3 linked regions of the Pelodiscus sinensis genome follow. The protein of the gene in region 3 interacts with the protein of the main gene of each other region in a biochemical or structural test. Links are inferred from orthologs where the notes say so. Each region holds a gene or a part of one and is shown on either strand. Other genes may lie near its edges. The genes, in order: DAB2, TAX1BP1 and MYO6.

Region 1 (7,749 bases), on a different chromosome or scaffold from region 3:
CCGGAGTTGCAAATGAAGCCCGGGATTTGAATTTCCCGGGCTTCATTTGCATCTCGCCGGGCGCCACCATTTTTAAATGTCTGCTAGTGCGGACTCCGTGCAGAGGAGGAGGAGGAAGACTGATATCAGGGACAGGAGGAGGAGGACGACACGGCCACTGTGACGCTGTCCCTGGAGCTGATTGCTGTGAGTCTGGACGTGTCACAGGCATCATCTGACGCTGGGGAAGGATCTTCAGGTGAGTGCTCTCAGTTTGTCTCACACACACAGAGAGGGGGAGGCGGGCGCAGAGGCAAGCGTTGCTTGGCCTGGATATTGTGCTGCAGTCCATGAACATGGAACCGCATGCAGCATTATTGTGCATCACACGGACACAGCCGGCAGCCCCTGAGCCCACCCAAGCTCCTCCTCCCAGGCTCAGGGGAGGCCACACACACGTCTGGCCCTGGAGGGGGGAGCCCTCTTACCACCTGCCATGGCTGGAAGCAGGCTAGCCACAAGGGTGCTGGGACCACCCCATACACCAAGGAGTGCTGTACACAGCACATGGGCATGCCTGCATGTGCAAGGCACCACCCGCTCCAGCAGACAGCGCTGCAAGGTACAGATGTGTGTGTGGGCCCCCGGGAGGGCCAGGCCGCTCCAGGCTTCTCTGCCGCCCATGGGATCCCACTGTGGCCAGACACTTCCCTTGCCTGCTTGTCCATGGAGGAGGGGGAGAAGCAGGCAGCATGGTTCCCTGGGCACTGTGGGGCACCTGTAAGGCAGGGCCTGCTTGGTCCCGGGACATCCCCCATCCTCTGGCCCGAGGACTGTTGGTCGCTGCTCACAGAGGAGGGCACGGCCTCAGAGACAATGTCTGCAGGGATGACTGACTGCCTCTCCCTCTTTTTATTTTCCACAGCCAAACCAGCCGGGACTGAGGGGTGAACCACGCCACCCGAGCCAGCCACCCAACCCCAGGGGACCTGAAAATGCTCCAGGGTCCAGGAAGAGCTGATGAGGCAGCATGTGGGCATCTGTGCGACATGCAGCAGACCCTGGCGCAGTAGGTCCCCTCCCACTATGCCTCAGCTAGACTTCGGCACCAGCACTCGGAAACAATTGGTGACCTAAAGTCCTGGCTGAACTGGTTCCAGATAGTGAGATAGCGTCCAATCAGTGTGGACGCTATCTTTAGCAGTGTGGATGCTCTCTTTCAGAAGAATTTTCAGAAGATCTCTTCTGGAAAACCTTCTTCTGAAAGAAGCTTGCAGTCTAGATGTAGTCTCACTCCTGTGAGCGCACTCCTATTTGCATCAATAGGTTTTCTACCCATCCAATGTAAATGAGAGCAGAATTTGGCTCGAATCTGGAAACCACAAATCCAGCCTAGGCCACTAGCAGCATTGCTTTCTGTGGGTGGTTTAAGGTGGAATTGAATCTTGCCCAATTTTAAAAGGAACTGACGAACTACATCACCTTTATCACTAGCTAGCTAGTAGACCCAGAATCAAATGATTCTAGATGTAATACTTATACAGGTCAGATTTGAAATTTACTGATGGGCTTGTGTTAGTATACATTAAGATGCTGCTAGATCTATTTGGAAGACAGATGACTTCATTCTTCAAGAGTTTCTATCCAGAATTTTTCACCAGCATTGAAATAGCCTGAGAGAAAAACAAAGCAATTTTAAATTTAATAGGATGCTGATTGTTTCAAACATAAAACTGACATTTTATCTTTAACTAACTAAATTTATATTTAAAAAAAGAGCCAGCAGGCCAAATCCACATGAGGAATGATGCTGAGCAGTCCAGAGGTTCAAATACAAATTCTTCCTCTATATTCCTAGTGACATACTTTGCCATCTCTCAATTTACATCAATGAAGTTTCCACTGAAAGGCGCCTCTTCAGCCAGATTTTTTCTGATTCCTATTCCATTGTTCAACTAAGTGAAAATGCTATCGTGATAATTAACTACAGTATCTGATTAATAATTTCATTCCTTTCAATGGCCAGGACATTGCAGGGAGATATAAGGAATTTGCTGATTCTGTAAAGCTCAACCTTTTACTGCCTAGCTGTAACATCTGTAGTGGAGAAGTGAGGAATCCAGGAGCAGATAGTTTACCTTATGGCAAATTCCAACGTGCTATTTAAAGTTCAAATGAAATTCCAGCACTCAAAGTAGGAGGTTTTCTTAAAAAAAAAAAAAAAAAAAAAAGTCCCAAATCTGTGAGTGAAAAGTTTAATTATGGACAAGATGACACACATAGTAAAGCCCAGAAAGGCAGCAACACCGCTGTGGAAGCACATTCCAATAAAATCTTAAAAGATTATTTTTATAATAAACTATGCATTCTTGAGCAAGCCACTGCGGGATTAGCTAACACTTTGCCTTGCTATAAGCAGGTTTTTTGCAAACTGTTACTGACACCATTTTCAAAGCATTCATGTTTCCAAAGCTTACACTGGTGACTTGAAAAGGAATCTACTTTTCAGTGTTTTTATTTAATCCTGCTTCCCTCTCTCCCATATAAACTGAAATCCCAATGAGTAGAACAGGCTGTGGCTTAGACAAAGTTAGCATCCAGAAAAGCAATGGAAAAACTAGCAGTGGTGAGACTTTCCAGCTGTAACTACAAGATAATTTTAGACCTACTGAAAAATATTTGCATCTGTGAGGCACCTAGACTGATACTGTTCTGTAAAACAAAAAGTTAATTAAAAAAACCAGCACTTTGGGCAGGGCATTGAAGCTATGCCAATAGCAGAGACATTTAACACAATAAATATTTAAAAAATCACCATCCTGCAAAATTCAGCACTCCCTCTTCTGGAAATACTTGAATAGTTGGGTTTAACATTGCAATTGGTATTGTCAAATTCATCTGTTTTTACAAATCCACTTTGAAATACGATTTTTTTTTATAAAATATGAAATATGAAGATTGCCATAAAAATCCCATAGTGCATATAGATGAAATAGTTGTATTTCAGTCAGAGTTGCTGCCAGATTCCTCCTCTACATAAAAATACTTCCATTAGATATGTTTAATATAACATTCCAAAATTCTAGCTTTTAACGCAAAAGTATGAAACATCAGGGGGTTCATTTTGAGCCATATGAAAAAAAAAGATAATACACTAGGTTAAGAAATTTTTTATTCTTTGAAGTCAGCTTCAGGTTCCCCCCTTCTCCCCTCAGTTAGCCATAACAGTGTTATCATTAGATTATTAGACACCATGCTTGCCAGTTAAAAACTAAACATCTTGTGGCATTTCTACATTAAACCCTATGGTGCAGTACTTCTGATAAAACATCAGCTATGTAGTGGGGTCTCTTTTGGTACTATAATAAATAGTGTATATGTACTTCACAACTACATTGTGGGGGGAAAGAGGACTGTGTTGTGGGTTGCATCCTGCAAAGACATAAATTCTAATCCTGTAAGTGTGGTGAGCTACTTTATGAAAGTGAATCCTAAGTGTCTCCTTATTTATTAGGAAGAAAACCTACCTCAAAGTGCCTCTATTATGTGGATCAGTTACCTACTTTTTCTACAGTATTTTGAACAAGTTATTATTGTTAGTATTTAAAATACAGATTGCAGAGGGACACAAAAGCCCAGATCCTGATTTTGATTAGAGCCCCTTAGAGTTAGGTGCTGAACAAATAAACATGACTAATCTCAGATGTAATCATGTAAAAGATCATCAAGGTCCCAATCCTGCAAACATTTTCACATACAGGCATAACAAGAAGCATGTCATTTGTAGCAAGGGACTGGATGCACTTAAGTGTCTGCCAGGCTGGGATATAAAGGATTTTTTCCCTTCAGGGGAGAATGTGCTTCTGAAGTGAAGGACTGAAAGCACCACTTAGAATCAAGGGCAGTGCAGGCACAGCTGTGTTAATGCACCTCTGTCATCACCCGATATCTAGCACCCTTGTTATTCTAGGCATGGGCCAATTCTCAGCAGTCTGTCACTTACCGTGGTGGTTTTGTATGCAGGGTTAGGTGGAGAGCATAAATTATAGAGCATGTTATTTTAATCTGTTTTAAAACACCCCTCGACACACAACACAGCGATGTTCAGTAATGTAGTAAGAGGCACTGCATGGCCTTGTAAAACACACCTTCCTCAAGTAAAATTTCCTAATCTACATTGTAATTGGGTGCGGGAGGGGAGGGATGACAGGTTCCAATAATGGAAGACAAAAAGAGAATAGATGTTTCGAGTAAAGATCCTTATAAAGATCTCTGAGTAAAGAGCTGGATACAATCTACCAGCAACCCAAAAACTGAAAATGCTTTGACCCAGGATTCTGGTTCAGCCAGTTAGAAAATACCAACATTCATATCCACATCGAGATTTTTACATAAAACAAATCAATGTAAACATATACACACTGGGACCAGCCTTTGGATCCCCTCTCCATTGCCAGATCCTTGAAATGTTTTCTATACACATATTACACATATTGTGAGCTACAGACCTTCAGTCCCCCGCCCCCCATTCCTTGTGAATTCCCTCTGATTTTTGTACGACACATATCTAATTTAAGAAACCTCTGACTTTCCTGTCGTGGGTTTAAAAATCTCCCCTTTCGTGTCATTCTCTCCTCTCTCTCCTGTAGGGCTCATTATTGCATAAGAGCGCAGCAGCTCTGATTCCCTTCAGCCCTGGCGTGCAAAGGGTTAAGTTTGGAAGCACCGACACGTTGAGGGGGAGTAGCCAAGCCCAAACAGCAAAATCATCACAGCACATTCCTGGGTAGTCCTCAGCTGCCAGCATCTGATTAAAACCATATCTCTCGCTGTGAGTGGCTAGCTCAGCTGAAGGCTGGAATACAACTGAATATTTAGCCGGGCCCACGGTGTCAGCTAGTCTGCCGGCTGCCGCCCGAGGATTACGCAGGAGTAGCTCGGAGCTAGTCTGTAAGTAGTTTTTTCCAAGAGGGAGGTGGATTTTCCTCCGATTTTTTTTTTTTTAAATGGAGGGGAGCAAAGTAGAGGGGGGGAGCTTATTGTAACGTTTCCTGGGGTCTGTAGGGCAGGGTGACTCTGGCGCAGGCTGCGTTCAGACGCATTTCTTCAGTCAGCAACCCCCAGCCGGTTCTCGATTGTGAAATTTAGTCGTTCCCTGGGGTTGCTTTGATTCCTGCCTCTGAGCCGGACGCTGCAGCCTTCTCTTCGGCGACCCGTCTTCTCAATGTCTGGGGAGTGTTCTGGGAGGGTTCTACCCCCCCCCCCCCCGGCCTCACTAGCGTCTTCTGCGAGACTCTGCCCCGCTTCGGAGGGGGCTAAGGTGGCCCGGGGAAGGCGACCTCTGCGAACGTGAGCAGACTAATCGCCTACCAGCTGGTATTCGTTTGTGCTTTTAGGAAAAAGCCGCTGGTGTCGAGTACCACGATAACTCTTCCAGGGCGGCTAATTGACACGAGCTCGTGGGGTGGGTGGTATTGTGGCAACACGCCGAAGTAAAAGGCTCTGCCGAAGGCAGACGCCCCAGGGGGTGCTAAATCCCTTAAAGCGTGAAGCTCCCAATTTTGGAAGTGCTAGGGTGGGAGAGACTGAATGGGTTAAATCTCTGGAGCCAGCTGTGACTGTAACGGCTTTCATAGCCCAGGACTAGTGTCCCATAGATATGGGGGAGGGAATAGTAATGCTAGTCAGTAGCATGACACTACTCATAAAATGTTCTAGCTTAAAATTGGGTGGAAACGTCTGCATCCTGCCTCCAGGAGCCTGAAAAGGCCTCTTGACTAAAGAAGCCAAGAACTCAAAGCTAAACAAACAAGCACTTTCTATGGAAAGGCGGGGATGAAGACAAGCAGATTATTTACATTGCTATATAGATAGTAAACCCCTTCTGTTGCTCTAGAAATAGTTTCTCTGAGAATCTAGTCACTCATTGTTAATAGTGTGTGGAGGGAGGAAAGGCCTAAGAAGCATTTTGGCCAGAGCAGTTTGTCTGTTGGCTTTCTAATGTGTTTGCAACTGGGGCAAATAGGTGACACTCAGGAGTGATGGGAGGTGGGGAAGGAAGCCTACAGGCAAAAGTGAGAGGTGGTGTAGTAAAAAAGCTCTGCCTAGTGAAAGGGAGCTCCTCTTTTCAACCTGGAGGTTGGTTGCAGGAGAAATAGATGTCTCAGTGGTCAGATCATCATGGTGACACTCAAGTAGGGTCTTATCAGTGTTCAAGGTTGTGTCCTAAATCTATTTGCTCACAGTAGAATTTACTAGGCAGCTTGGGGTAAACTTTCTCCAATGCACAACACATTTTTAGAGTTAAAAAACCCAGCAGTGTACTCAATTAGCTAAACAAGCTAGGAAACAACTTGTCATCCAGTGAAAGGGTGGCCAATCAAGAGAAATACCTTTCTAAGGGCACAATGACCCTTGGGAGGAGGCTACACACTAAACCTTAAAGCTATGAATCTTGATCCCCTTCATTGCTGGTGGCTTCCACAGGTAACTAGGTATGGAAAAGTGGTCTCAGCACAGAAAACACCTGAGACTGATGCACTGAAGAAGCTTGAATCAAGATGAATAAGAATTTGTGCAAACCCCTGAAATGCTAAGTTGCATCTAGTGAGAGATTGTCTCTTATTTAGGCATGTGCTCATCTGCCCACACTTTAGGGGTGGGCAGAGACACAGTAGAAGGAATATTTTCCTTCTACACTTTTTTATTGAAAAGAAAAACCTTAAAGGTACCTGTGCCATCATTCTGATGGGTACTAGTACATGTGTCTACTAACCCTAAGAAATGCACATTCTGGGATGGTAAACCTACCTTTCAGCTCTTAGGTGTTATTTCTGCTGTTCCTCATTGTTAGGAGGGGAAAATAGCTTATTCATTCACAGAAGCTAAAGGTCTGATTTCAGACTTGGTTCTGGAGGAAACTTTTAATCATTGGCCTAGGAGCAGGGAAGGGGATTGGAAGGAATGTAATCAGATTTCTTAGAACTGATCCTCAAAATAGTTCCAAGGGCAGTAACTGATTTCACAATTAGGGAGAATCCCCTAATAAAGTGATACTACATCTCAAAGCATGTGGGGGTTGAATGTGTAGAGCAGCTCCTACTGCTCTGCAAAACCAAAATGGCTCTTGACCTTTGTATGTACTTCTGAAATGGCAAAATTGCTTAAGTTTGGGTTTTAAGCATGATTGATATTCCTAACTTTGAAATGGAACCAACATAAACAGTAAAATGGAGAGCTCCCAAAGGTGTTTACGCTATAGATAGGTGAGCCACAGAAACAAAAGCCTTAATTGACTGAGGCATTTACTCCAACCTCTTCAAGTCTCTAGGGGTAGATCTACAGAACAGGGCTCAACTCGAACTAAGCTATGTAACTTGAGCTACACAGTTAGCATCTCTCGTCAAAATAGCTTATTTCAAATTTGGGTACAACTACACAGTACCTCAAAATAGAGCACTTTCCTCTGACTTCCCTTCCTCCTCAGAATGGGATTTACAGAAGTTGGAGTAAGAAGCCTGTTATTTCAAAATAATAGGCTTGCTGTGTAGGTGTGCAATATGTTATTTCAGAAGGATATCCATTATTCTGACATAATACTGTTGTGTAGAACCGGGCTACTCAAGACACAGCCTGTGGGCTGCATGTGGCCCATGGGCCATTTGTTTGTGGCCTGCTATGCAGCTTGGGTTTATACAGGGCTCAACACACGGCCTGCAGGTGAGATCCTGTGAACATGCTCCCCAGCAGTGAGCCAATAGAATAGACTTC
Region 2 (7,308 bases), on a different chromosome or scaffold from region 3:
AACCTGATGGAGGCAGAAGCCACTGCAGAGGACAGTAGGTATGACTCCAATTTGCAGAGAATAGTTGTAATAATAAGAGGAATTACTGCTCTAAGGAGAAATACAAAAGTTATGATAAGCCCCAGCTACCAACGTGTTCACTACTGCTGGATTATATCACAGCACCTTGGCACTTCCCCTCCCCTGCCATCCTACTGCATGGAGTTCAAAGTGGTGACTGGGAATTTAAATCATCCATTAAACGCTGTGAATGGTATTGTTACTATAAAGTAACCAATGTTTTCTTTTTAGTAGTAAGGGCTTATAATTTGCCAATCTATGGAGCCACCTGGAAACAGTGCACTCCAGGAGTTTCTATTTCCAAAACTAGCACAATTCAGTTGACACAGCTCATGAAGTTTGGAGATCACAAAATCATTTCTCCCAAGTATGAGTGAGGTGTCAGTTTTTGCACATAATGTGTTGCATGTTCAGAGAGGAGGAATGTGGTAGAGTCCTGCATGTTTGCATGCAGCAATAACAGGAGAATCAATGAATGAGCTAAGATAGCATCTTGTTGCTTCCCTCAGGAATTCTGACCAAATTTTGGTAGCTGATAGCTGAAAACTTTTCCTTAAAGAAAGAACTCCAGATAGCCTAATAGAGAAAAGAACGTGTTTTTCAGGGTCTCCTTTATAGCACACTACTCAGAAATGTGCTGTTTTTTCACAATTCCTTTGAATAATTCTGCCAAACACATCGCAGCTTGAAATAACATCTCCCTTTGCCAACAGGGCCCCACAACAATTTTAATAGCCTTCAGAACATGAAAGGCCTGAAATGATAGCAAAAAGCTTTTTACAGCAAGGGCATTATCTGCATCAACTGGGAAGAAAAGGTTTTTATAATTTTAATTTTAACATTGTCTCTGTACTTCCGTAACTGCAGTTAACAAGGTTGTGCCCAGAGGAAATATGTCAACTGATGCAGCCTTTCATAAAGTATGAGGGTTCAGTTTAGAAATGAAACATTTTAGGACCTTGAAATTTCACAAGAATGAATTCTGTGCTTCTGACTGAGCTACTTTATCCTGTAGTGAGCTGTATGAAGAAGTGGGCTGTGCCCACAAAAGCTCATGATGCCATCTAACAAAACATGTAGTCTATAAAGTGCTACCAGACCATTTGCTGTTTTTTAAGTTTATCCTGTACATACTAACTCGGCTATCCCCTGAAGCTACTTTATACAATAACCTTCTATTTCTTGTCCTATTTCAGGCCTTCCCACCCTCTATTGCCTGTTCAACCATAATAGACAGTGACTTAGGTAAGGCAATACCGACGATTTCATGGTCGCTGGATTTTTAAAAAAGGTAACTTTATTTATTTAAGCTATTTAAAGGTGAAATCTCATAGCGTTGTAATTGTGGGGGTCCTGACCCAAAAAGGAGATGTGCAGTGGTCGCAAGGTTATCATGTGTGTGTGTGCATGCGCACAGGGGGCAGAGAGGGTGTTGCAGTACAGATACCTTTACTTCTCCACTACTGCTGGCAGTGGTGCTGTCTTCAGATCTCAGGAGCCAGAGATCTATGGCTGCTGAAGGCAGCATTGCCACCAGCAATAGCACAGAAATAAGAATGGCATGGTATTCTATTGCCACCCTAACTACTGTGCTTCTGCTTGGAGAACTGGCCCTCAGTCATCAGCCACCACTCTCCAGCTGCTCAGCTCTGACGGCATAACAGAAGTAAGGGTGGCAATACCACAAACCTCCCCAAATAAACTTGTAATTCCCCCTGCTACTCTCTTTAGAAATCAGGTCCCCAATTTGGGAAACACCTGTGAAATCTGATTCCCCGTGAAATCTATATAGTATGCATAACACACACAAGATCAGATTTTTTTTTCGGGGGTGGGGGGGGGGGAAGAAGGGGAGGAACCAGATTTCACAGTCTTTGGTGCATTTTTCATGGTCATGAATTTGGTACGGTAGAGCACGGGTGCTAGGGATGTGAAAGGTTGGTTGTTTAGGCAGTAGGCACCACACTAAACAGGTGATGCTTACCCGGTCTGGTTAACTGGTTATTGGTGGGGACTTGAGCAGCCCCCCCGCCTGCCATGTGCGGGGGAGGGAGTAGGTCCAGTGCTTCAGAGGACCTGCTGCAGGTAGGCACTACTCCCGCATCCTGGGCGCCCTATAGGCAGGGTCTGCTTCTGTGGAGCAGCCTCTGTCCGTGAGAAGCCTCTGTGGACAGAGGTTGCTCCAGTGGGGGCTGGAAGCCAGCAGCAGTCCCAGCTCCCATGTGGGGTTGGGAGCTAGCAGCCATCCCCAGTGTAGGGATGGGAGCTGCACAAGCAGGGACTGCCCCAGTTCAGATCTTGCATAGTCTGTTAACCCATTAAATGTTTAACCTAATGTTTAACTGATAAACTGGGATGTTACATCCCTAGATCCTGGGACTCTGATTCTTCTCCCTTGAGGGAGGGGAGAGCATTGGGAGCTTATCTCATCTCTGTGGGATCTGGGATATCTAGCTTTGCTGGGTGGGCACAGATCGGGTAATGGGGTGAATCAGGCCCGAGCAGGTCTGTGGGATGGGCCCCCCCAGCATGGGGTGTCCCTGCACAGTTGGGCTGCTCTGTTCTTTCTGTGTGGAGGCTGGGGGCAAAGGGAGGGAAGAGGGAGCAGGCAGGATGCAGAGTGACATGATGATGTCACTATCATCCCACAGGAAAAAAATATGTATATGTACACATACACACACACACAGAAAATTAAGAGAGTGAGACATTTGTTTTTATTGATCTAAAAAAATAAAATTATGAAGGGCCTTTTAAGCTTAAAATTTTACTTAAAAATAATATAGTAGTTTCAGTACACCTTTTGCTGAGCCTCCTGGCATATTTTGTGGTTCTAAAGTCACATTCCCCCTTTTTAAAAATACACTTATATTTTCCATATACTACAGTATGTGAAAGACCCCCAATAAGCACAGGGAAAACTAACTGAACACAAGGGAAACAGAAAAAGGTGTCAAATGCAGAAAATAAACAAATCTAAAATAACCACAGAAAGATTCTGCCATTTATTTCACTTATAACAATCTTAGCTGTTATTACATACTATAGAACAATTTCAAACCAAAATATGGACCTTAAATCACCAGAGTCCTTTTAAAAGCAAAGGCAGGAGACAAGGGAAACGTTATACTAATCCTGCATATACACTTGTTTTACTTCACACTCAGCTGAACTCCTCCTGTCTGTAAACTGAAGTATGGACATAAATGTGTGTAATATAAAGGCCTTGAATATTTAAAAAGTGCTTCTGGGTTCAGCTTTGGCTCAAAAATAATGAAATATAATCAGAGAGAAAGCAAACAAGTATGAGTACCGATTACAGATATGAAGAACATGTTTTAACTCACTAGCTTCACATAAACTTCTGTGGGCTGTTTTAAAATCTACATATGCTATTTTAAATAAACATGTAAAATATTTATTACACTAAGCTACTCATAACATTAAGTATTGATATAAGCCTCATATAATTTTACAACCTGTATGGCTTTAATAGAGTGCACAACACTTGTAAAAGGTGCAAAACACAGGTGATAATCCTCGCGTGCTAGAAAACACATTTATCAGGGCTTTCAAAACCTCAATGCATGTTTCATCTGAGGAATTAGACGCTTGTCAGGGGTGGGGAAATAGTCCTCCAAGCACACTGATGCACTCGTTAAATCCGGCGTGCAACTCCCGTGCGCCTCCAACTACCACCCACCCCACAGCCCCTGCTTTCCCGTGATAAGAAGTTGTGGGGCAGAGCTGTCACTTGACTGACCCACATGCCATTTTAGCGAGGGGGTAGGAAGCAGCACCCCACGGGCGGGTTCAGGACGGAGGCCCGGCCTTTGGACACAACGGGACCACGCTCTGCAACCCCAGCTCGCCCTGCGAAAATGTCACCCCGCATCCCCAGGCAGAGGGCGAGGCGGGTGCTTACCCATTGCCGTGCCGGCAGCATGCACCTTCCAGTGCGCGTGCAGGAGCCTGGCAGAGCCTCTGAGCAGTAACACCGCTGCCATGCCGCCTCCACTCAACGTGACCTCCACTCAAACACCGCCCCCGCCTGGCCCTCTCTGCCTGTGACCGTGGACGGGGCGGGGGAAGAAGACGAGTGGCAGCCAGCGTAGCCAACCACAGCGTGGCCTTGGCAGCCGCACACCAATGAGAGGGGCCATCTTCCTGCCAGTGACCTGCCGGGTTCGCCTCCAACCCCATGACAGACAAGGCAGCTGTGCCTGCTCCACCGCCCACGGATGGGCGGGTCTGGGGGGGTGGTGCCCGCTCGTGAGCAAGCGGGACTGGGCCAAGGTGAGGCTCCCTGCACCTCTTGCAGCCGGCGCCTTCGCTTACTCCCCTAGGTGAGTGGGGTAGCCCTGTGTCCCTGCCAGTATTTTCATTGCCCAGTGGGGTGCCCCCTCCCGCCCCGTCCTTCTGGCAGAAGCAGCATTTTTGTACAAATATTGGTGGTGCCTAGAGCCCCTACCTCACTCAAGCCCCCACCTGCCTAAGGCTCTGGGAGGCCGTTTGGGTGGGGAAGGGGTACAGGCTCTGGGAGGGAATTAGGGTGCAGGAGGAATTCAGGGGTGCAAGCTCCGGGATGGAGTCTGGGTGCTGCTTCTGGCCTGGTGCAGGGGGTGGGGTTCCTGGGTCTGGGAGGGAGTTTTGGGGGAAAGCAGGCAGGGGGAAAGAGTGTAGGGGCTAGAAGGAGTGGGGCACACGAGGGAGTGGGAGGAGGGGTTAGGGGATACCATGCTTCTGCGAGGGACCCATCCTCTGGCAATGGCTCCTGGAAGAAGTAGGGATCTCGAGGTGCTGCTGCCCCAGCTCTCAGCTGCTGGAAAAGCACATGGCATGGAAACACTGGGGGATGGACAGAGCCTGTGGGGCAGCAAGATGCCAGGAGATGCAGGGCATGGCAGGCAGTGACAGTGAATTTGGCGGACCCCAGACCCGGGCCAGGAATATTCCTGGTGCCAGAGTATCACAGGCACGTATACTGTAACTCACTGCCTTTGCCCTCTTGGTGGACCTTCCTTCACCCTGCAGGAACAAATTGCTCTTATTTACCTTTTTCCGATCAAGCTACCTTCTGTACTTAGGAGAGGATCAGAGTAGTTGCATAACTCCAGCCAGTGATTAATCAGAGAGTCTATGCTTTCTCCAGGCAGCATCGCATTAGGGTTACGCACTCAGGTTTTTCCCTGCCCTTCTTCTCTCTTGCTGTGGCAGCTTTTAGCTTGAATATTCCCCTTCAAGAAAATGCTTTAGACTGTTTGGTGTCTAAAATAAACACTTGAAATGTTATCCTGCTTCTCTAAATGCCACCCTAATATAGCCCTATAATTCACCCCTCTCCTAGTATTTTCATGTATTTTAACATATCAGTTATTTTTTCAAGTATTCTTGGACATAAAATCTTACATATTACATAGCCCACATTGTTTTTTTTCCCTTTTAGCTGGTGGGGTCATGTAGCATAATTATAATTAATATGAAGGACTAGATCTTATATGTACAGATAAATAGTCCCTTTTCTCATGTTTTGTTCTTACTGTTGAACTTTAAAATATTTTGTTTTGAAAAGGCTGTTCTGTTGTTGTTTTTACAACTGGTGACCACACCTGAGGGGAAGAGTTTCATATTGCCTAGCTAGACCTGCTGAGGAATCACAATTGGCACACAGGGTACTGTTGCCCAGGGACTGGTTCTAAGAATGGGAGAATCATGGGAGTCTGTTTTCATCCCAGGGTAGGTAAAGGGATGAGGTGTATAAGAGCTAAAGCCTGAGAGGGGTGTACTTGGAAAGGGCAGAAAGAAGTCAAAGGTGTAGCCAGGCCAGTGAACTGTGACTTTTCCTTTTACTTCTTCATTTTATTTCATATTGTGTTCCACATATAGGCCTCTGCAGATGGAGAGATGTAATTTTCCACTTGTCATAGTCAATATAGATAATATTGTTTAAAATGTAATTTAATTGAGTAGAAATCCATCAGAAGGCAGAATTAGTAGATCCATTAATGAAGTGTATAAAACAGCTGATAAAAATCTTTTCCTACATTGGTTCCCTGTAGTAATCAGAGGCCCCCTTCATCAGTCACATTACATCAGGGTGGGCAAGATACGGCCCATGGGCTGGATTCAGCCCACCAAGCTGTTTCATCTGGCCTGCAGCCCACCCTGCCATGCCCCCACCCCCCAGGCCAGTCAAGACCCTTCCCCTGTTGGGGCACATGGCACCAGAGGGAACTGCCAGTTCAAAATGGCTAGCAGTTCCCTCTGTGTGCTGCATGCCCTTAGCACAGTGGGGGGGAGGGGCGGGGTGGGAGAAGACCTCCTGTGCTTCCCTGCCCCATGGAGGGGGGGCATGCAAAGTCTCCTTCCTCTCCTCACCCTCCTCCCCCACATGGTGCTTAGAGGGAGCTGTCCCTTCCAGCTGAGGTCCCACACTTTCCGGGACTGGCTCATGACCACTAACAACATTGGTGAAGTGTTCCTCCCTACAAAAATGATTGCCCACCCCTGCATTATACAGTATAGGAACTAAGGGTCATTTGGCAATAAAGTTAAAGCTTTAATAAACTCAGTGGTTTTCAAACTTTTTTTTCTGGGGACCCAATTGAAGAAAATTGTTGATGCCTGAGACCCAGCGGAGCTGGGGATAAGGGATTTGGGGGTACAAGAAAGGGTTTAGGGCTTGGGTGAGGGCTGTCAAGCGGGACTGGGGATGAGGGGTTCATGGTGCAGGAGGGTCTCTGGGCTGGGATAGGAGGTTGGGTGCAGGATGGGGTTAGGGCTGGTGATGCAGGCTATGAGATGGAGTCGTGGATGAGGGATATAGAGTGGAGGAGATTATGGGTTGGGGGGGTCAGGGCTGGGGCAGGGGATTGGGGCACAGGGTTGGGTAATGGGCTTACCTCCCATAGCCTTTAGTTAGCAGAGGTTCAAAGGCAGGCTTCCTGCTTATCTTGGCACCATTGACCATACAGTGCCCCAGAAGCAGCCAGCAACAGGTCCAGCTCCTAGGTGGAGGCATGCAAGCAGCTACGCACAACTCTTACCTGCAGGCACTGGCCTGCCCCAGCTCCTATTGGCTGGTTTCTAGTCAATTTCAGTGTAGGGACAGCATGGGGAGCCCTGTGGCCTTACTGCCTAAGAGCTGGACCTGCTGCTGGCCACTTCTGGGATGCTGCATGATGTCAGAACAGGTAGGGATTGCCCAAGGCAGTGGTTCCCAACCACTGATCCATGGACCGATGGCGG
Region 3 (7,968 bases):
TCTGGATGCCAGTTCTGACTTACATACAGATTCAACTTAAGAAACCCAGGCGTCCCCAAGTCAGCTGCTGCTGAAACTGATCAGCGGCTGATTCCAGGAAGCCTGGGGCAGAGCAACTCTGTCTCGGGCTTCCTGTAGTCAGCCGCTGGTCAGTTTCAGCAGCAGCTGACTTGGGGACGCCTGGGGCAGAGCAGCTGGGGTGCTGCTGGGTTGCTCCAGTAGCGCAGCTCCTCCACGCTACTGGAGCAACCCAGCAGCACCCCAGCTGCTCTGCCCCAGGCGTCCCCAAGTCAGCCGCTGCTGAAACTGACCAGCAGCGGCTGAATCAGGACGCCTGGGGCAGAGCAGCTGGGGTGCTGCCCGGTTGGTCCTGAGCGGCACTGCGGGACCAACCTGGCAGCCCCCAGCTGCTCTACCCCAGAGGTAGGCAAGAAAAGCCTGGTCTGCTGGGGGGGGGTGCTAGCCGCACCCCCCGCCCAGCAGACCAGGGAGACGGGGGTGGCGGGACCGCCCAAGTCCTCCACGGCTTTGCTCCGTCTCCCTGGTCTGCTGACCTGGGAGACCCGGAGCAAAGCCGCAGAGCACGCGGGCAGCGAGACAGTCCAGGCGCGCCGTGGCTGTCCCACTGCTGGCGTGCTCCGAGGCTTTGCTCCCCATCTCCCTGGTCTGCTGGTCAGACCAGGGAGACGGGGAGCAAAGACGCGGAGTACGCCCGCAGGGGGACAGCTCAAGTGCGCCCGGGCTGTCCTGCTGCGGGCGTGCTCCGCGGCTTTGCTCCCCGTCTCCCTGGTTTCCAGGGAGACGGGGAGCAAAGCCTTGGAGCACGCCAGCAGTGGGACAGCCGCGGCACGCCCGGGCTGTCCCGCTGCGGGCATGCTCCGTGGCTTTGCTCTCCGTCTCCCTGGTCTGCAGGGAGACGGGGAGCAAAGCCTTGGAGCACGCCAGCAGTGGGACAGCCGCAGCACGCTCCGCGGCTTTGCTCCTGTCCCCCAGGTGTCGGCTTTGCTCAGGTGTCCCTGGTCTGCTGGGGGGGTCCAGCGACTTTGCTGGACCCCCCCAGTAGAGCAGGGAGACCAGGAGAAGCTTTTCTCGCCCCTGGAGAAAAGCCCCGTTCGTAAGTGCGGATCCACGTAAGTCGGGGACTGCCTGTACTGATTTTTGAGGAGCGTATTTGCAACTTTGGCCTCTTGTGAAAAGTTGAATTCTCTATGACTTTTAGGTTTCACAATTACAGCACCAGCACTTCTGATGCTTAGACTTGCCATGAAAATGGAGCAGCCATGGCTGCTATTTATTACTAATATAGTTTCAGGGGGAAAAGTAGAGGTGTGTAGAACCTCTCGTCCTGCCAGTTGAGGCTTCTTCTTTAGAGTATGCACAATATGCCTTAGGTGGCATGATTCATCACTGAATTTGGTCTGTTGGTTGGATCATTAGTTTCCCTGCACCAGGTCGGGTACTGACAGGGAGTGTGATCCATGCTCATCACCACTTCAGTCAAACTGACAATTCAAACTGCAATTACTGCAGTATGGGCAGGCCAATTATGCAGTTGCTGACTGAAACTGGCACTTTACATGCATGTGTGGTGATCAAGAGAACAAAAACTTGTTTAGAACTTGTTTTATTGACAGAGGAAATGTTAGTAAGAACACAGGATTTAGCTCCTGCTGTTTTCCACCCAAGTTGCATGATTAAGCATGCACTTTTAATCATAAATATGTTCATTTCATATTGTCCATAAAGTATCTAGGATAGTGTTGGTCCTATATAAATAAATAATAATGGAACATTTATTTTGGAAAAATCTTAAGTGTGGAGGTTCATTTAAATTCTCACAGGACTACCAGCAGGCATGGCTAAACATCAGCTTTACAAGGCAAAACACAGTTTAAAGACTATCGCTTTGCAATTATTTATTTAATTACTTCACAACATTCTGAGAGCTTTTCAGACATTCAAGATAAGATTGTTCCAACTTGCCAAATGCAAGGACGAAAGATATAGAAATCAGCAGAAGGAGGCAGATTTTTAAATTCAAATTATTTAGATTCACTCTGCAGCACAACAGAAGTGGAGTTTTGAGAGATTTAGGGAGGACAATGTACAGGCTTAAAGCAAAAGCTCAGGCCGGTCATGTTATTGTGGGAGAAGCTGATATATGAGTGGACAGAATTGGGAAGGGTGGTGAAATATAGGGCAAGGAAGCAACGCGAAACTCAGGGAGGGGCAGAATTATATAGGACTTTCAAGGTGGAGAAAAGAAGTTTAAATCTGACACAATAACATATGGGAAGGCAGGGGAGACATTCAAAGAGAAGTGTGACATGGTCACATGGGAAGGCAAAGAAAATGATTTTAGTGGTTACATCTTGTACGATATGGGGCAGTATATATTTTAGGGATTTCAGAAAAATGGGTGTTCTAAGAGTCAAAGTGGAATATATTGACAATCCAAATACGAGATTTGACTGGGCAAGGGAAAGAAAAGGATAGCTCTCAGACATATTAAGGAAGAAGTAGCACTTCAATTACTTCATATATGGAAAGTAGTAAAACAAATCTTACACATTCAAGGAACACAGCCAAGGAGCCCCCAAATTTATTTTTTTAAGCTAATAATTTTAAAAGATTCAGTACAGTCTTTACAAAAGATTAAACAATACTTTAACTGAAATATTTTCAGTCTAAATACTGCAACCCTGTATTAATGTCAGAGCATCAAAGTGAAATAGATTAAAATTGACAGCAAAGTCAAGTGTCTGATAAATTTAAATGACCAAACTGAGTAAAAAGCAAAAGGTAAACAAAGAAATAAATAGCCAACATCAAATGATGTATTTCACTTGTGCAATTTTAATCATTTAAATCGTTGTTTGCATTAGAACAGTATCTAGAGACTGAGATCAGAGGCCTACTGTGTTGGGCATTGTACATACATTCAATCAGGCCTTGTCTACAGAAAAACAAATTGAACTGCTTTAACTATAGTCTACATTGGCAAAGTTAACATGGCACAATATCCCTAGTGTGAATGCAGTTATATTGATAAAAGTGTGCTATAGCGATAATTTAGTCCCATGTCGGAATGGAAATGTATAAACACATTTATACTGGTATAATTACATCCACACAGCAGGGGGAGGACATAGATTAAGAAAACACCCATAAATTGACAGTTATACCCATATAAAAACTGTGTGTAGACCAAACCCTAAGAGACAGTCCTTCCCTGAAGAATTTAAAAAGGCTAAACATAGCCTTTATAAATATAGCTCTTTTATTCCAGAAAAAAGTATCCACATACGCTGTGTCTACATTGGCGCGATTATGCGCCAAAGTGGCCGCTTTTACGCAAAAACATGCTGCCTGTCTACATTGGCGGGGAGTTCTTGTGCAAGAACACTGACGTTCTAATGTGTAAAATCAATGCTTCTTGCACAAGAACTATGATGCTCCTGCTCAGGAATAAGCCCTCTTGCGCAACTCTTCTTGCGCAAGAGGCCAGTGTAGACAGGTAACATGAATTTCTTGAGCAAGAAAGCCCGATGGCTAAAATGGCCATAAGAGTTTTCTTGCGCAAGAGAGCGTCTACGCTGGCACGGATACTTTTGTGCAAAAGCACATCTCTTGCACAAAGGCACGTCAGTGTAGACGCTCTCTTGCGCAAATTCTTTAATGCAATGACTCTTGCGTTAAAGAGTATTTGCACAAGATCATGCCAATGTAGACACAGCCATGGAGTTAATCAGCAATAACTATTGGAATTAGAATTCACACCCTACTTTAATGAAAATTGACTTTCAAGTGTAGACAAGTGCTAAACCCTGCAAAAATGTATGGATGTTCTTAATCTATTTTACTGTGAGTAATGAATTCAAGGGCATTATGCACAATGTGTAAAATTAAGCATTTTAAGACTTTACAGGATGAGGGTCTAAACAGATAAAACCGGAGAAAAGGTGGGGGAGGCAATGTCTCTATTATTTTGGCACCGGCTGCACTACAACAACACTGCAAATTGAAGAAAACAGTGGCCGAGCTCTTATTTTCAGTAGGAAAAAAGGTTACCATTTCTTAGCTAATGTGGTGAAATCCGGGAGTAAGTCTACACTGCAACAGAAAGTGTGATTGTAATTTGTGGAGATGTACATAGACTGGCTCTAATTGAGCTAGCTTGATTAAGGACAGCAGTGAGTCCAAAGCTGCATGGGCTTCAGCGTGGGTGTTTGGTCCTGCCGTCAGGGCAGGGGACTGGACTTGATGACCTCTTGAGGTCCCTTCCAGTTCTAGTGTTCTATGAGCAGTGGACCCTACCCTATGCCCATAGAGCTCAGACTTCACTGGTGTATTATCATTTGAGCCAGCTAAATTTAAGCTGACTTGGGCATGTCTACCCCACATCCTGAGAGGGATGGGGACTTGCTGATCGCCGGCAAAACCCAGCATCCATTTCCACTTCTGTGGCAGATGAGCCTGGGGTCTCCGCACCAGGTAATGTTGCCAGGGGTCTGGTTTTGAACCAGACAGGCCAGTATTTGAGCTTTCTGTTGAGGAAACAAATTGAGAAAACAGAAATGTCCGGTATTTTCTACATCAGATGTAATGTAGATTGGGATGTCATGTCCAGTGTGTCCTGTATTTTGGCAGAAACCATCTGGCAACCCTAGCAGGGTGGGTGCACGTGGCTGGGACACCCCAGGTCACAGAGCAGGCTGAGCCGGGGCTACGGGCCGCACAGGAAGGGTCATTCCCCCCGGCTCTCAGACAGGGCCCAGGGATGGCAGGTAACCAGGCCGGGCCCTGGGCTCCGCGGAACAACAGGCCGGCGGAGGGCAGGCGGGGGAAAGGCCTGGAGCCGCGCGTAAAGCGGCCGCTCTGGTGCCGGGCCCGGGCGGGCCTGGGCCAGCCGGGGACTGGAGCGCCGGGCCGCGCTTCCCCCGCCCCAGCGCTGACGTCTGCGGCGCCTCCTTGGCCGCGGCTCCGGGGCGGGGCTGCAGCAGCGCAGGGGCCGCGGGTGGCGGCATCAGCTGGGGACGCAGCGCGGCTGCAGGTAAGCGGGGCAGCGCGGCGCCGGCTGGGGTAGCCTCCCCTGGGCAGGGGCGGGATCCCCGCCCGGCCCCGGTCCGGCCCCCACCCCCTCGGGCTCCTCTGCCCGCTCAGGCCGCCCCGGCCTGCTGGGGCCCCTGGCACCCACCCCTGCCCTACCCCGGGCGCTGGGGTCCGGCTCCCGCGGGCCGCTCGGTAACTCTGAGCCCCCGCACCTGCAGGGGCGGCAGCTGGGCAGCGCCTGTGCGGGGCGAGACGCCAGGGGCTACCCAGGCAGGCGATTGAAAGCGGCCCGGCGGCGGGGCGTGCTGGGAACAGCCCCGGGACGCTGTAGCCGGACCCGGAGGGCTCGGAAGAGGCTGGGAGGTTCGGGGAACTTTGGGGGTTAGTGGATTATTAGAAAAGTTTCCAAATCAAACCGTGTGTGTGGTGAGAGTCTGTATCCGGAATTGTCTAGGTAGCCGCAACTTAAGTGTCTAGCCACAGCAGCTGTAGGAAAGATACTTATCACCAGACTAACTTAGACAGGACGCTTGCTGTGAATAAAGAGGCAGTGCTTTTCTAGACACAGAACTATGTAGCACTCTTGTTAGATTTTAAAATGCTACATAGGTCTGTCTTTTGTTTTTAGCTAGACCAGACTTACACGGCTGCATCTCTGTCACTTTTCTCGAGAGGCTTTAACATTGGAAGGTTATAGAGGTTAAACGTTAGGAGGAGAATAGCTAATTCTCTGTGCATGTTCGTTACTTGCAGTTGCTCTCACCTGTCCCCCACACCTTTCTTGAACTTAACATACAGTTTACCAATTAATTGGGAAGGAAAAATAGAAGGGCACAACTAGAACCTGAGTGAGTCCCGAGTATTTACAGATCCAGCCTAAACTCCTTCCTACACAGTAGCTGAAAAGTAAAGGCCTGATGCAGGTGCTTCTAAATGTATTGGAAGAGTTAAACAGTTGAAACGGAGAGCTCAGGGCTTCATCTGGGAGAAAGTAGGCTTTTATGAGCAGGGTGATTTTTTTTTTCTTATTACAGTGAAAACTTTCTTATCCTGCATACATACAGATAAGGTGTTTTTTGTACTCAGTGAAAATGTCATTTTGATACTCACAAATTCCTTCTTGTGGTTTTTTCTATCAGTCTTATTTTTATCTGACAGTTGTTGCTAAGGAAAATGCTAAAATTACATTGGGTTTGTTGAACTATTGTAGTCTCTATTTCAAAAGCCTAAATATTTCTGTGTGGATTTGTCCTCCTGGACAAGTGAAGTTTTATATCAGCTGGTCTAAGAACATAAGGATTCAGGACTGCAAAAGAACATGCTTTCTATTGAAGCTTTTTATCAAGTTTGATAAATTTGTTGCTCCAAAATAATTTCCACTCCCAAAAAGTTTTGTTTCTCCACCTAAACTTTTTTCTGCTTGAAAATTAAACAAAAATGTTCTTTGACTGGACAGTTCATCAACCATTACTTGGATTACAATGCACATTGTATCCGATGTATTGTAGATGCTTACACATGCTTGACAGATGGATTCTTTAATAAATCCTTATACTACCGGATCCTTGTAAAAACTTGAAATGGCTAAATTAATAGACAAAATAAAAGAATGTTTGTTACATATTTTTTTAGGTAACTTCTATTGATAGACTATACCAATCCACGTATTTTTGACAAGGGTGAGAGTAAGTATATGTCATCATTTAAAATAAGTGTCTTACTCATGCAGGGTAAAGAACTTTCTTTGGAGTGAGCTAATAATTCTTGACAATTCAGTTGACTTTATTAGCCATAAAATGGCTTATGAACTTATTCTTCAGGGAGCAGAGTACAAAGGTTAAGAATTGAGTCAAGTTTTTCTTTATTGCAAACATGACGAATTAACAGTGCGTAAAGAGAAAATTTCAGGTTAAATTCTTGCTATGGTTTAGTTTTTCAGAAGGAAATAAAGTGGGTTTTTATAAAAAATAATATAAATGTTTCCATGATTTTCTTTAAAGCTTCCACTGGATATTTTCAATCAATTTTGTTCCTGTAGTGTTCGATGTTCAAACTGGGCCTATGCATAAGATCCAGAAAGAGAATGTGACTGTAAACAAAAGTGAAACTAATTGATTTAATTTCATTGTCCAAGTTGAGACAATAAACACAATACAGGTATCAATAATGAAAGTAAATGCAATGTCTGTAATGTCAAACTGCAGCCTTATGAATTGTTTTGTAGTGATGTAATTTTACACCTCAGTTAAAATTTGTATATTAAGAGTAACAGTTGAAGCAAACACTTTGAATACCTATTCAACTACAATAGTGATAGAAATGTAGCTGTGTTCAACTACAAAGCGCTGTGTTCCATATGTCCCTCTACTATATTGTGAAGCAGTCTGGTGTATTGCTTCCTCCCCATTCTATGTCATGCAGCGGCGCACTTGTGATTTTAAACTAGCAAAGACCAGGAAGGGTCAGAAATAAGACTAAGATGCTTGCTCATCATGTTTCCCTATGTACTGCAGTGTGTATTGTATGGGTTATTGCCCACTGATTGAAGAGCAACAATATTTGACCACAGAGTGGCAGTTTCTGGCTTGATATATTTGTAAAGGCATTTGCATTCTGTAGTGTGCTAAATTTTAAAAATCAAGATGGAAAGATTAAAAAACCATAACAACTTCAAATGGCCAACTTGAAATAATACATATTTGTACTTTAAAAATTGATGTATAGCTTGAATAAGTTTGTATAGTATATTGAATTATGGTAGTTTTGTGCTTGCATGTCTGTTACTTTAAATGCTACATTTGTTTGTGACAGCTTGTAGTACAGGCAGCCCCCGGGTTACATGGATCCGACTTACATCGGATCCCTACTTACAAACGGGGTGAGGCAACCCCGCACTAGCTGCTTCCCCCCAGCAGA

The links.
Region 1: the proteins of MYO6 (region 3) and DAB2 form a complex in vitro, tested with the Homo sapiens proteins (7 studies listed by BioGRID). The link is inferred for Pelodiscus sinensis from reciprocal best matches to the Homo sapiens genes MYO6 and DAB2.
Region 2: the proteins of MYO6 (region 3) and TAX1BP1 form a complex in vitro, tested with the Homo sapiens proteins (5 studies listed by BioGRID, with this or other methods). The link is inferred for Pelodiscus sinensis from reciprocal best matches to the Homo sapiens genes MYO6 and TAX1BP1.

The regions. Positions count from the first base shown.
Region 1 is NC_134716.1:103,838,023-103,845,771, forward strand, and holds the start of DAB2 (disabled homolog 2), read left to right. Parts: upstream 1-4,747; 5' UTR 4,748-4,929; intron 4,930-7,749. UniProt on the Homo sapiens protein: Adapter protein that functions as a clathrin-associated sorting protein (CLASP) required for clathrin-mediated endocytosis of selected cargo proteins.
Region 2 is NC_134712.1:196,219,461-196,226,768, reverse strand, and holds the start of TAX1BP1 (tax1-binding protein 1), read left to right. Parts: upstream 1-4,267; 5' UTR 4,268-4,406; intron 4,407-7,308. Other genes in the region: HIBADH (3-hydroxyisobutyrate dehydrogenase, mitochondrial), read right to left, coding at 3,986-4,067.
Region 3 is NC_134713.1:57,955,646-57,963,613, reverse strand, and holds the start of MYO6 (unconventional myosin-VI), read left to right. Parts: upstream 1-4,903; 5' UTR 4,904-5,053; intron 5,054-7,968. UniProt on the Homo sapiens protein: Myosins are actin-based motor molecules with ATPase activity. Unconventional myosins serve in intracellular movements. Myosin 6 is a reverse-direction motor protein that moves towards the minus-end of actin filaments.